Linked DNA regions of Oryzias latipes. The protein of the gene in region 1 binds, or shares a complex with, the protein of each later gene. Links are inferred from orthologs where the notes say so. Each region holds a gene or a part of one and is shown on either strand. Other genes may lie near its edges.

What was found.
Region 2: the proteins of thoc1 (region 1) and thoc2 are in contact, whole or in part, in a cryo-EM structure (PDB 7ZNL), measured with the Homo sapiens proteins. The link is inferred for Oryzias latipes from reciprocal best matches to the Homo sapiens genes THOC1 and THOC2. Residues at the interface, in NP_005122.2 of Homo sapiens: Asn134, Arg138, Asn141, Leu144, Arg145, Lys149, Thr153, Cys156, Gly157, Gln160, Leu161, Ala164, Arg165, Phe167, Gln242, Phe245, Arg246, Tyr297, Ala299, Lys300, Phe301, Arg319, His320, Leu323, Gln324, Ile327, Tyr331, Arg373, Phe374, Lys376; in NP_001075019.1 of Homo sapiens: Leu155, Phe156, Tyr157, Lys158, Gln160, Asn163, Leu164, Leu165, Arg166, Asn169, Glu170, Ala173, Lys174, Ile176, Ala177, Gly180, Gln181, Asn195, Lys197, Ser198, Leu199, Ile200, Gly201, Cys202, Phe203, Asn204, Leu205, Pro207, Asn208, Arg209.
Region 3: thoc1 (region 1) and sarnp share a complex: the UniProt entries of both Homo sapiens proteins name them as parts of the transcription/export (TREX) complex. The link is inferred for Oryzias latipes from reciprocal best matches to the Homo sapiens genes THOC1 and SARNP.

The regions. Positions count from the first base shown.
Region 1 is NC_019875.2:28,356,409-28,360,556, reverse strand, and holds the start of thoc1 (THO complex subunit 1), read right to left. Parts: upstream 2,805-4,148; 5' UTR 2,769-2,804; coding exon 2,721-2,768; intron 2,514-2,720; coding exon 2,440-2,513; intron 2,367-2,439; coding exon 2,306-2,366; intron 2,230-2,305; coding exon 2,160-2,229; intron 1,890-2,159; coding exon 1,771-1,889; intron 1,691-1,770; coding exon 1,642-1,690; intron 1,564-1,641; coding exon 1,468-1,563; intron 1,363-1,467; coding exon 1,280-1,362; intron 1,203-1,279; coding exon 1,129-1,202; intron 1,026-1,128; coding exon 917-1,025; intron 857-916; coding exon 722-856; intron 508-721; coding exon 407-507; intron 317-406; coding exon 250-316; intron 114-249; coding exon 63-113; intron 1-62. UniProt on the Homo sapiens protein: Component of the THO subcomplex of the TREX complex which is thought to couple mRNA transcription, processing and nuclear export, and which specifically associates with spliced mRNA and not with unspliced pre-mRNA.
Region 2 is NC_019872.2:16,174,143-16,178,198, forward strand, and holds the start of thoc2 (THO complex subunit 2), read right to left. Parts: upstream 2,810-4,056; 5' UTR 2,708-2,809; coding exon 2,643-2,707; intron 121-2,642; coding exon 65-120; intron 1-64. UniProt on the Homo sapiens protein: Component of the THO subcomplex of the TREX complex which is thought to couple mRNA transcription, processing and nuclear export, and which specifically associates with spliced mRNA and not with unspliced pre-mRNA.
Region 3 is NC_019865.2:25,904,989-25,908,975, reverse strand, and holds the start of sarnp (SAP domain-containing ribonucleoprotein), read right to left. Parts: upstream 2,810-3,987; 5' UTR 2,794-2,809; coding exon 2,683-2,793; intron 1,851-2,682; coding exon 1,751-1,850; intron 1,664-1,750; coding exon 1,620-1,663; intron 1,351-1,619; coding exon 1,280-1,350; intron 1,046-1,279; coding exon 994-1,045; intron 1-993. UniProt on the Homo sapiens protein: Binds both single-stranded and double-stranded DNA with higher affinity for the single-stranded form. Specifically binds to scaffold/matrix attachment region DNA. Also binds single-stranded RNA. Enhances RNA unwinding activity of DDX39A.

The DNA of each region.
Region 1 (4,148 bases):
ATAAGTTAGAATAATGTACAGAGACCCAAAACCTTGACCGGTTGGATATGATGTGGACTCACTTCCACCATGCTGGCAAACTTGTCTCCATCAGGAGGGATTTCTTTCAGCAGCTACAAAACCAAAGAAAAGGCTTCCATCATCCCCTTTTCTTTGACTTTTCAAGACCTCAACAGTTTACATTCAAAACTATAAATTATAAAGTTCATAAATATAAAAAGATTTCCCCATTTTTCCTCCTCAACTGACCTGATAAACCAGTTTAGTCGTCTCTTCGATCCAGGTGGTCTGGTCGTCATTAAGGACACAGCTGGAGCTGCAGGATAAAGATGAAAAAGGATTCTATTTCCCCAACATGACGATGCAGATTTTTCAACGTCGAGTTACATTTGTGCTCAGGTTGAACCTTTTGAATTTGACCTGGCCCTTCAGGTACTGGAAGAGGATGAGGTACTGCAGCAGGATGTGGCGTCTGAAATTACTGTCGCTGAGCTGCAAGTCCATCAGCTGAAAGAAGGAGGAGAGGAACAACAGTCAGCAGTCAGATCCAGATCACAATTTACTCATGAAAAGTGCTTCTCCTGCATTATGCGGCTTAAAAACATAGACAAGCCCACCCTTTCCCCCCTCTGGTAACAGACCCATGACCCCACAAACATCTAATACTTTTAAAAATGACTTCTAACAGAAACGTATGCTGATAAAAGACAAAGTTTCCCACCTTCTCACTGGTGAGGAATTTGGCAAAGTAAACATGTTCTCCATCAGATCCTCTCAGCTCATCCAGCTTCCTCTTGGAGGCCTGCATGTCGTCCAGCTTGTAGCTCTTGAACACAGCTAGAGTCTCATCTGAGAACTGACCAGGAGGTTAGCTATGGTTCGCCACATGCATACGTCTGAAGTTCAGGAACTTTACCTTCAGGAACGTCATCCACAGAAACTTGTCATAGCACTGCACAGGATTCCTGAAGTAGTCCTGCAGCGTCCAAAACTTTCGGTACAAGTTGTAATCAATGGGAATGGAGCTGAAATCGACATTTTGATGAACAGCTTTTCAATCCGAGGAGCATTTGGTGTCAAGAGCAAATCAGAAGTTTGTACGAGGATCGGTAACATTTTACTACAAACCTCTGAGCAGGAGCATCCTCCTCCCCCATTTCTCCTTCTTCCACCTCCATGCCTTCTTCCTTTTCATTTGTGCTCTGGAAAAACATGAAAAAAAAACCGTCATCAGTCAACCCAAACTGTTGGAATCAATCCTCAGGTATAGAAAATCCACCTTTTGGCCAAGAGTGCTTTCTAGTTCATTTTTGTTGAAGACTGTTACATTTTCCAAATTAAACTGGCTCTGCAGGTTAAGACCTAGATGGGAAAAAAAACAAACAAACAAAAAATTCCAATCTAAGATGTCATCTTTGATGTCAACACCCAACAACTGAACAACAAACCCCCTGCTGGGGTCCTCACCTGACTTTTCTGACAGAGGGAAGAGGCGCGCAAGAAACAGCTGGATTCGCCCGCAGAATACCGTGTTCTGAGATTTGGAGAGTCTCCTCAAAAGATCTAAAGGGTCCGAAAAGTTCGTCACTCACTGCTCAAATTTGAAATGATGAATAACATTAGACATGGAGGAGATTTTACCGTTACACATCCTCAATAAATAGTTTTTTCCTGCACTGTAGAAGGAGTTCTGGAAAAAAGGAAAAATACTATTTAATATTACATGACAGATAGACCAATATTTCACATTTGGGGGGGTAAGTTATTTACAGATTTCCAAGTGGAGACGTTCTCTTCGACAAAAGAGAATATTTTGTCGCACAGATCGAGTGGAAGGCAGTCTAGTACGTCTCCCAGCAGGACGAAGGGCGTTGTAGCGGAGCAGATTCCTGCAAAAACAAGAAAACACCGAAGAAAAAAGGTTGAAGACGAGACTTTACACTGTTTTGATTTTAAGACTAACTTCTTTTGAAATAGAGTACCGTAAACGTCCCGGAAACACAACAGTTCCGAAACAAGAGTGGCTAAAATGGACTATTTCTGCTATATAAACATGAACAAGATATTAAAGTCAAAATAATAACAGCTAAAAAAAAAAGGGCCTGTTCATTTGTATTTAAATAAAAGACACGGTTCAACTTTCTGCATTAGCATCACACCTTCTGTGACCGCATCGATGCTCAAGTAGATGAGAGACAGGTAGTCATCACAGCTGGCCTTCTGCTCAACCTACAGAAGAAACGATCAGCCTTTAAGCTTTGCGTACAAATGCAGAACATTGGATAATTTTAAAGAAACAGCTTACAATCTGATCTCCAAGAACGCCCCTCAAAGCCTGATCAAGAGTTGTTTTCTTTTCCGTTTCACTGAAACACACGTCAATGATTCGTTATAGGTAAAAATTACAATTGATAACAAGTCGAAGTGATGTAGACTTACTTCCCAGGGATCTGGTTAAACGATGTGACCAAAGGTTTGCAGGTTTTACCCGTTAGGGCGTGTCTGGCAGCAACCTGAGGACGAAAATGTGAGAATAATACGAAAGAAAACGTCTCTCTTTTCAATACGTTAGCATTATGCTAACAGCTAATGTAGAAAAACAAAACAGAAAATTAATTTAAAAAAACTACTTAAGTTATCACCGTTCTGATCACATCCACCGTATATATATTTATGTGTTTGCATGCCTAATGATTAAAACTCATCCTGCAAACTCTCACCGTAAATTTGTCTTTAACATCGACAAAATTAAACAAGGACGGAGACATCTTTACTGCTGCAACAGGAAGTGCACCTAGAAGTACTTCCGGTCTTTCTGACCGCTCCCTCCCGTTATTTTTTTAAAAATTATTTTACAAAAATTACAAAATAAAATGTAGACATAAATACAATATATAATGCAAACGGAAAAAACATTTATTAAATATTTACATACATAATTGATGACAACTTTAGACGGTTTCCTAAAATTAATACTTAGGGCGACGTAAATACCACATTTGTACAGGTTTGCCAATCTCCACATTTGTAATTTTTCACTTTCTTTAATTCATGTGTTTAAAAAAAAATCATATTTGAAAAAAAACGTCATTGTGAACTTTTTAAAGCTTTTTTTTTTGCTTACAGATAATGATCAATTTTAAATTGTATTTTTAATACATAAAGTTCAGAATAAATGTTAAAAATGTAGTTCGCATTTGTTTCTATCTTTTGAGGAATACATCTTTGTTAGTTTTCTAACAAGGGATTTAGAAATTACACTGATGTGTTTTTTTGCCCTAAAACCACCAAATTGTGCTGCTGTTTGAAACATGTTTTTGAATAAAACTTTATCATACCGTCTTAACACGTGCTATAAAGTTGCGACAATGAGCCAAAGATCCGCGTGTGTTCGATAATTCTCATAATTTGACCTCAGAGTGAGATTGGGGGAAGCTGCCTCACTTCCACATTTGACCTCACGGGGGCAGTGTTGCACACTGTTCTTTCAACTACTGAACCCTTCATCCAGTTTGAAACAAAGCTACGTTTCATCTGCTGGTGACCGGTGTCACTGAATAATGGTGGGATAAATCAAATATTTTAGAAATTTGTAATCATTTGTGTATTCTTTCTCTTCTAAGCTGAAATAAAACTTTAACAATTGTTATTTTAATAAAGTAAATTTTAATTCAATTGCATTGCTGAAACATTAAATCCATTTTTAAACTGAATTGTACAGTTACAATTTTTTTATTTAGTTAGACCTGTGCACTAGGAAAAAGCTCAGTGTCATTCATACTTACATAGCACTGGTTTTGGAGAGGTCACGGTGTTCGATTAGTGTGGTCTATGTATGTCTGTCTGCACTGGGGAACATTTCTGCATGTTGTGGGCGTACATTACAGAGTACAGTGCTGCAGGGCTGGAATGCTTTGATGAAATCTACTGTTGAACAACGTCACATTGCACATTAGAAGCACTGGCCCATTACAGTGTGATGGCAATCATTTAACTTTGCACTTTGTAAAGTGGGTTTCACAGGACAAGACCTATAATTTGTGTCGACTGCAGACTTCATTTCCAAAGAAAAGAATTGCAACAGTAAAATACAAATATAATTTGTGTCTTGCAGGATCAAACAGGTTAATTTTTTCATGCTTGTATGG
Region 2 (4,056 bases), on another chromosome or scaffold:
TGAGACAGCATACAAATGGCCAAATTCAGACATGCAGACAAGAAACAAGCCAGGCTGAACTTACCTCTAATTTCACTTCCATGATCACTTTTCTCTGTAAGGTCTTTGCAGAGTTGTATGCTATCAAGAAAAAAAAAAACAACAACAAATCTTTAGTAATCTAGAACATGGAAAAGAAATCCTGGAAAAAGCGAAAGAACTTCACTCTGAGTGATGGGATGAATAGACAGAAACGTAGTTGAAAACCAGCTTTGAAATGAGTTTTGATACATAATAGTAAAAGGCGAATACAGTTTATTAAAGGGCCTATACCACCTATTCTTAAGCCTTTTATAGCAAACAACGTCCATGTATGTGATAATATTTTACCTTTGTCATAAAAAAGAACAATTTTTTAATGAAATATTAGTTATTTTCCTGAGGTCGTTAACAACTGGGAAGTAAGACTACTCGATCTCTGAGGCACATGTGGGCGTTTCATGATGTCAACCTAGAGACGGCCTCGCAGCACGTCTGCGTCTAGCTCACAAAATTAACCAACATCCAAACTTTTGCAAAGATGGATGTGCATATTATGCATATAAAATGAAGATTTGCCAATCACCCTTAGCTCCACGGAGAAGTGTGTATGTGCGTTAGTCTGGGGCTGGGAGCGCAGATTCTTCCTGGAAGGGGCTATTCTTCACTTTTCTACGTCACAATGTGAGAACCCACTCATTTTCATGGGTGGGCAGGGGCTGGTGCTCAGAGTGCAGGTTTTTAAAGGAATACTCATATGTGTTAACGGATCACAAATACAGCTTTGGGGTTTCTTTCCGTGAGGAATGAACATTAAAATACACAAAAAAAAAATATTTTGCATGGTAAAGGCCCCAATGTGCTTTATAGTCCGATTCACACACACTGACGGTGGAGACGTCTTGCCAACCGCCAAACAGACCACCAGGAACAATATGGGGTAAGGTGTATTATCCAAGGACATTTTGACACATGGGCAGGCATGGGGGGAATCAAACCTGCAACCTTTTGATCAGAGGTCCACTGTTCTACCTCTGGGCCACAGATGCAATTTGAATCCAATTGTAAACCGCATTGTGTTGAGTAGATTGAAACCACAATCACTGATTCTGCATGTTTTAAACGACTTTCTACAAAACTGTGCCGTATTCTGTTTACTTTTACTTCAGATTATATTTTACCATTTCCAGAGCCCAAAAGCATTAAAAAGAAGAAAAGGGGGCTGAAATTTTCTAGATTCAAAAAAAGTGCAAGCTTTTAATTTTAATATATAAAAAAGTAAACATACTTTGAAACAAATATCTTACTTGCTTAAACCAGATGTCAGATAATTTGCTACAGAGTGGACATTAGTTAGTTTAAAGCAAGTTGAATTTGGTGAAAACACTAAATGACATTTAGTGAAACTTTAAACGGCATCTTGTGACAACCCAGAAACTTTCTTCTAATACCCTTTATCAGCTCCAAGCAGAGAAGCTAGTGCCTAAGTGTAAAGTGCAGGCTTTTTCCAGCCTGTGGGCCTATGCAGACTGAAGAACAGCTAACACTATGGGTGTGAGCCTAGAGTGCAAGTCTGTGTCTCGTGTGCGCGGACTAATTAAATAAACACATCATTCCCGTTTTGCTAAAGATTTCATTTGATTTATTACCCTATCTATTGTCCAATTCTTAACGTGTAGGGGCCTTTGTTGTTGCTGTGGTAAACACGATGGCCACGGTAACGGTGATATGTAAAATGGATGACTCTTATAAGCATGTAATCTGCTGGTACTATTCCTTAAAACGGATCCTAACTTTTAAGCTTTTATTTAACAAGAAAATAATAGCCCGCTGTGTTAACTAGCGCAAAACCTAGCTTAATTTCAGATTAGCTAACATCAAAGTTGTAAAGTTAGCCGCAGCATCTAAATTCAGAGACTGCATCTATTCAGGATTAATAATCAACATATACATTTACAATTGTCACGTGTATTTAAAGAGAAAACATAATAACACACTTTCCCTTCCCAATGTCATGGATTTCTGAATAAAATATATAAGAAACCAAAAAAAGGTGGCCGATATACGATAACACAACCAACACTGGAGCTAGCTAAACTTGATGCAACGTTGTTGTAAAATCCCTCGTTTCCCTCCACTTGATCAAGTATATCTAACAAGCAAGTCCCCAAACGTAATGCTGAAAATTGATTTATATACGTCTGTTATAAAGATGAGCAGTTATAAAGCTCTTTCCCCCGTCACTGATTATTTGGCTGGCTAACACGATGAGACGTGTTAGCTGAATGTATTCCAACTAGCTTAGCTTTGATAGCCGTAATGTTCGCAAAAACAGTTTGAACATCATCATGGTTTTCTCACAGGAAACGTAAACTAACAGACTTGAGCTTGTAGTGTTTTCTTTAACCTTTTACAGCTTAGCGTCAAGCGTTGCAGATGTGTATTTACAAGAGTTTAAAGTTAGCCGCACAAGCATTTTAACGTTGTTGCTAACACAGCTATGGCTAACACGGCTGAAGGACTGTCCTTCGCTTGTTGAAATGCTAGCTACTTCAATTTTGTTTTGTAAACACAAAGAAACGGCGCAATGCCGAGGACCGCATTTAATTAAAACATGTACTCACAACTCGTGTTTTCCAGACTTCTCCCAGTTTTTGATCCATTCACCAGAGATAATAAGTGTCGCCATCTTCCATACACACCGCCCGGATGTCTAGTTCATAATCATGGCACACACAGGGTCAAATGTGGGGATGAGCCGCCGTTGTTAGTGTTGCATGGCGGGATTCTGAGGGTTTGGTGCGGGTATCGGAGGACAGGCGTTATACTTGGGAACGCAGTTAAACATTTTCAACGTATTTTGTGTTGGAAAAAGAATCCAACGCAAATGCATTTTAAGATTACCGGTAATTAGGATAGTGTGAGAAAATAGCAGACCCACCCAAGACTAGCCTAACTGTCGGGATCAACATATATTAATTTCTCTAAAGGATTACCTAGAATTTATTACACGATTTTTCATTGATATATTTCATCTGGTCCTCATCCGATCCCTAAAATGATTCACAATTAAAGTTAACCTCAACTCAATGGTCATATTTGGCCTAAGTAACTTTTCTATAGAAACTAAACCTGATGAAATGCCAAAAGTGGGCTAAATTGTGTCTGAAATATGGCATAAACCAGACTAAATAAAGTAACTTCCTTTAAAAAATAAATAAATAATAGACCAACAATATTACAAACACTATGACAGACATTTCTAAATGAATCTGGAAAAATCAAACTGATTTACAATGGAAAAAATGGCTATGCTTTATTTAAAAATAGCTGGACTCTCATGCCAAAATGATAACACTTTTATAGAGGGTTTATTTGGCATGTGTTACAATATACATACAAAATATAAATGGAATAAGTGGACAAACGGCAAATAAGCACAGATTTAGCAGTTTAAACAAAGCAAACCAAACCAAACAAATCCAAAATGACATGTTGACATGCATTTCTACATGGATCATTGTTATTTGCCTAAGTATCCTTGTCTCGATTGTGCTAATTTTTAAGACTACATCTTCTCTCCAGTTTAATGATCTTTTTAATGAAATTAGCCTTTAATTGATAACAGAAATGAGAATACCATCCCATTATGTTGATTTCTGCTAACCAATTCAACACACAAATAAAAGTAATTCTCATATATCAAAAAGAAAAAAGTCAATACATTCATACTTGTAAATGAGTAAATCAATCTTCAATGAAAACATTTTTTTAAACAATACTTACACAAAGAGTAAAACCTCCAAATTAAAAGAAAAAACAAAAACGCACGGATTACAATATTTTACAGGTTTGAAGTCCTATCTTTTGCAGTTTTCACTATATAGTAGTCTAAAGACATGGGAGACTTTGGGGTCTACAATAAATATTTATAGATATTTTTATATGTAATATGTATGCAGCGACAGAAACTAAAAACTTTTAAGCAAAAAAATCCTCTGCCGAGCTCCAAAAAGTAATTTTTTTCAAAATTAAAAA
Region 3 (3,987 bases), on another chromosome or scaffold:
ATGAACAGCCATACAGATTTGTGCGTTTGGCACCAACCATCCCCGTGTTCACTGCGTCTGACCAGCGGACATTTTCGGATCTAAAGTGAATTCAAACCTACGCAGCAACACAAATGGACAGACTGGGCTCTCAGCACTGGCCTTGATCGAGCAGAAAATGACTTCTTGACGGAACTGAAGAGCAATAATCTACATGACAGGATGATGGAACTGTTTGAGGAAAGAGAGGAGGGTGGATTTTGTCATCAAATAATCTCATCTTCTGATGAGTGAACATCTAAATATCATAAATAAATTCCTAATTGATGTGGTTATGGTAGCGGTAATGTTTTGTGCTGGCTGTAGTTGCATAACAAGATTTGTTTACTGTTTTCTGTATTTAGAGGCACTGATTGTGGCTGCAGGAATTTTCAATCTGCAATGCAAAGCTAGTTTCTGCATCATAATATGGTTAATGAGGCGTTGAGTGATTCAGACGTTGCACTACTGAAGGCCCAGGTGTGTAATGCACGGTCCGCCACTGATGTTATCCTACCACTATTGTTATTTATTTTTTTGCAAAGTCACCATAATCCAGTCCTTATCAGAGTAAGAGCATATTATTCATCAAGTATGATGAATAATATGAATGGATGGAGTCCTTTAAAAAAGCAAAATATTTAAGTTTAAATAACTAGGTTGTGCTCTTATTTGGTTAAATTTAAGTTACAGATTCGTTTTTCCACTTTTTAGGAAAGATTTGCTTTATTTTTCAGAAAAATAGATGTTTTTGTATTAAACAGTTTGGCTTTAGCATCTACCCAAAGTGAGATTTCAGCAAAACTTAATCTAAAAACACCAAACCAAAGGAGCAAACACGAGCACAAAGGTGAAGTCTGAGGTCAACTAGTGTTTTTCTGAAGCTTTTCTCTTCTAAAATTAGATTTCAGAGCTCAGACGTGATCTAAAATCTAAACCAAGGTTTATTTGTGAATGAAAACGACTCATACTTACTTCACCAGCAGACAACGGAGGAGAGATTTTCACCACTTTCTTGTCTTCAGACCTGAAGGTAGAATTTATTTTCTCAAAAATTAAAAAAAAAACTAAGAACATGACAGTCCAGCAGATCCAGCTGAACTCTTTTTTGATGTTCTCATCTGAGCAACATCGACTGTAATTCCCTGAAAAGTTACTATCTTACAATAATAGTTAATGATAAACGATAACTTTATTCACACGCAAAGAGGAATCTGAAAGGTAAAGAGGAAAAAGCACATTTGTTGTACAGTTAACTTACTCTGGAATTGCGATTGTTTCAGTGTGGTTGTCCTCCTTTATGCTGTTGGAGCTCTCAACTTTAGTGAATTCCTAAAAAGAAAAGAAAAAAAAACAGACATACTGCTTTTGTGAAACAAACAAGCAGAAGAAACAAACCTGAACAATATTTCATGATAAAATTTGGAGTTTATTCAACTAAAAACTGTGTGTGAGCTGTGTCTGCCTGAAGAAATGTAATCAATAAAATGAATAGATTTGTGTATTTGACAAATCAATATTGATTTTCTCAACAAACATTGATTGAACGTTTCTGTTTTATTGCTAAACTAGAAGAGAACGGATAGAATAAAAGACATTACCGGTGTGTCCTCTGCCAGAACTTCATCAACATCCACATCGTCCTCTGTGGTTTGGATGACAACACAGACAATATGAGCTGGCAGGAAACAACATTTGGTTGATGTGCAAAAACGGGTCACCCGGTTCTCACCGTGCTCCTCCAGGTAGGCTTGGAGCCGAGCGATCAGCTCGCCCTTGTTTCCCTTGGTTTCCAGACCGCGGGCGTCACACTCTTGCCTCAGCTCAGCAAGCTGAAAGGGAAGATGAAACCTCAAATTAACAATTGGTTTTAAAATTTACTGACGTGATTCAAAAAAAGTAAAACATAGATCAGCCAACACCTGCTTGGAAATATTGGTGTAATTGAAACTATAAAAAAATATATATATATTTTTCCATCTCCACATCAGTAACCTTCTTACTATTCCATAAAACTCTGTAAACGAAAGGACGGTTCTTTTTTATTAAAGATAAATTTACCACGATCTGAAAGCACCTACATAAACTGATTTCATCATCTGTTGAACTAAATCAGTTTAAATTGATAACAATAATTTGTGCATTGTTAGAATTTTATTTTTCCTTTTATATATATACATATATATATATATATATATATATATATATATATGTATGTTACGATTACTTATTTTCAAAATGGTCGTTCATCACATTTGCTTTGAAAAGCAGAAATGCAGGATTGAGTTAAGTTAAGTAAAAAAAATCTCTCATTTTTATTTTGTCTTTCCAAACAGCGGTTGTGGTTCGGTCCATTTACCCACCTCTCGATTTTTGCTGTAACTGATTGTTTTCATTGTTTTACGTCGAACTTTATTACTGGTGGGTTGAAAGATAGTTTCTCAGATTATCCGTTCATTTCCCTCCGCGTTTCCTTCGTCGTTCTTTTAGCCCGGATTAGCTCAGAACACATGCCGGTTCGTAGACTTAAGACCCGGAGAACACGATTTTCTGCAGCCCGCCGCCACCCCGCTAGCTGGTTCCGGTGTAAATACTGACTTCATCATTTCCACCACAAAGAAATTCACCCAATGTCAGGAAAAACGTATTTTTAATTCTACCAACCTTCAGCTTTTGGAGCTCCACCACTTCAGCCATCTTTCTCTGTTGATGTATTCCTGCCGTCCAATCAGAGTCGAGCTTTTCTTCCTCTGTGCTCCTGAACAACGACGTCATTGATCACAACGACGTCATTGATCACAGCGCCTCCTGTCGGGCATATTAACGCCGTGCAGATGGTCCTGCTGCATTTTAAACAAACTTGTAGAGATTTTGTTCAAAATAAAAATTAATAAATCGCCGCAAAATTTTGTAAAAATAAATGTAAAAGACGTGTTAAGACCTTAACAAACTTTTTATTATATAAAATCATGATTAAAATGCGATTTTATAATACTTATTCAATTTAGCCTCAGATAAAAAGTGTTTACTAACATTTTTTATCCTTATTTATACTTTTTTCGTAGACATTCCTCACTGTTTTCTTTGTTCTCAGTTCATTTTATCTTATCTTTGCCATATAGATTGTGGATGTTTTTTAGAAGTTAATTTTCTTCTTTTATTTTCTTTACCTGGAGGAATAATGGAAGCAGTTTATGCAGTGGATCCACATTCATGTATTTGAGTAACAGCTACATTTAAATCAGTTGACATCATGCTGGAACTTTCTAAAACATGTATTTTTTTCAACCACATCTATAAAACACAATTATATTACTGTCTGATGAAAAAATTATTTGCTACATCCATGTGGCAAATAAATAAAGACTATTTTTCCTAATTTTCCATGAATCATCAGGTGTGGATCTTCACAGATCTAAAATGTCAGATAGGCCTAAAATGTCACCTTCATTGTTTAACACATTGGTTTCAAAACTATTAACTCACCTGACCAGGCCATGTTTGTAAAAAATAAATTCAGGCTGGACTGAGGAATCAAAACCATCTACAAGTCTGAGAGGTTTACAGAGGAATGCAGGTGCTTGTATGAAATGTTTGAACAATTAATGAGAGTTTAACCAAAAAAAAATAAAAATAAAATTCTAGTTTAAGCAGTTTTTCTGTTTTAGTACTACACACAACAGAGGTAAAACAGATTTTGTTCCTTTTTATATTTATGTTGCAGTTCTCGTGGTGAGAGAAAAAAAAATTCAATCACAGTACAACAATACTGAACAAAAACTGACAGCATTGACCTTGGCTCTTAAAGAGGGTCAGCTGACACACGCCACCGGCTGAAAGAACCCAACACCAGCGGGTCTCAGGCGTGGATGGACTGAGACACGAGGCGGGGTCAGGGTGAACACAAAACAGATGAAACGTGTTCAAACTGGATTTGCTGTGAATGCTGACATTGTTCAAAAAGAGGTT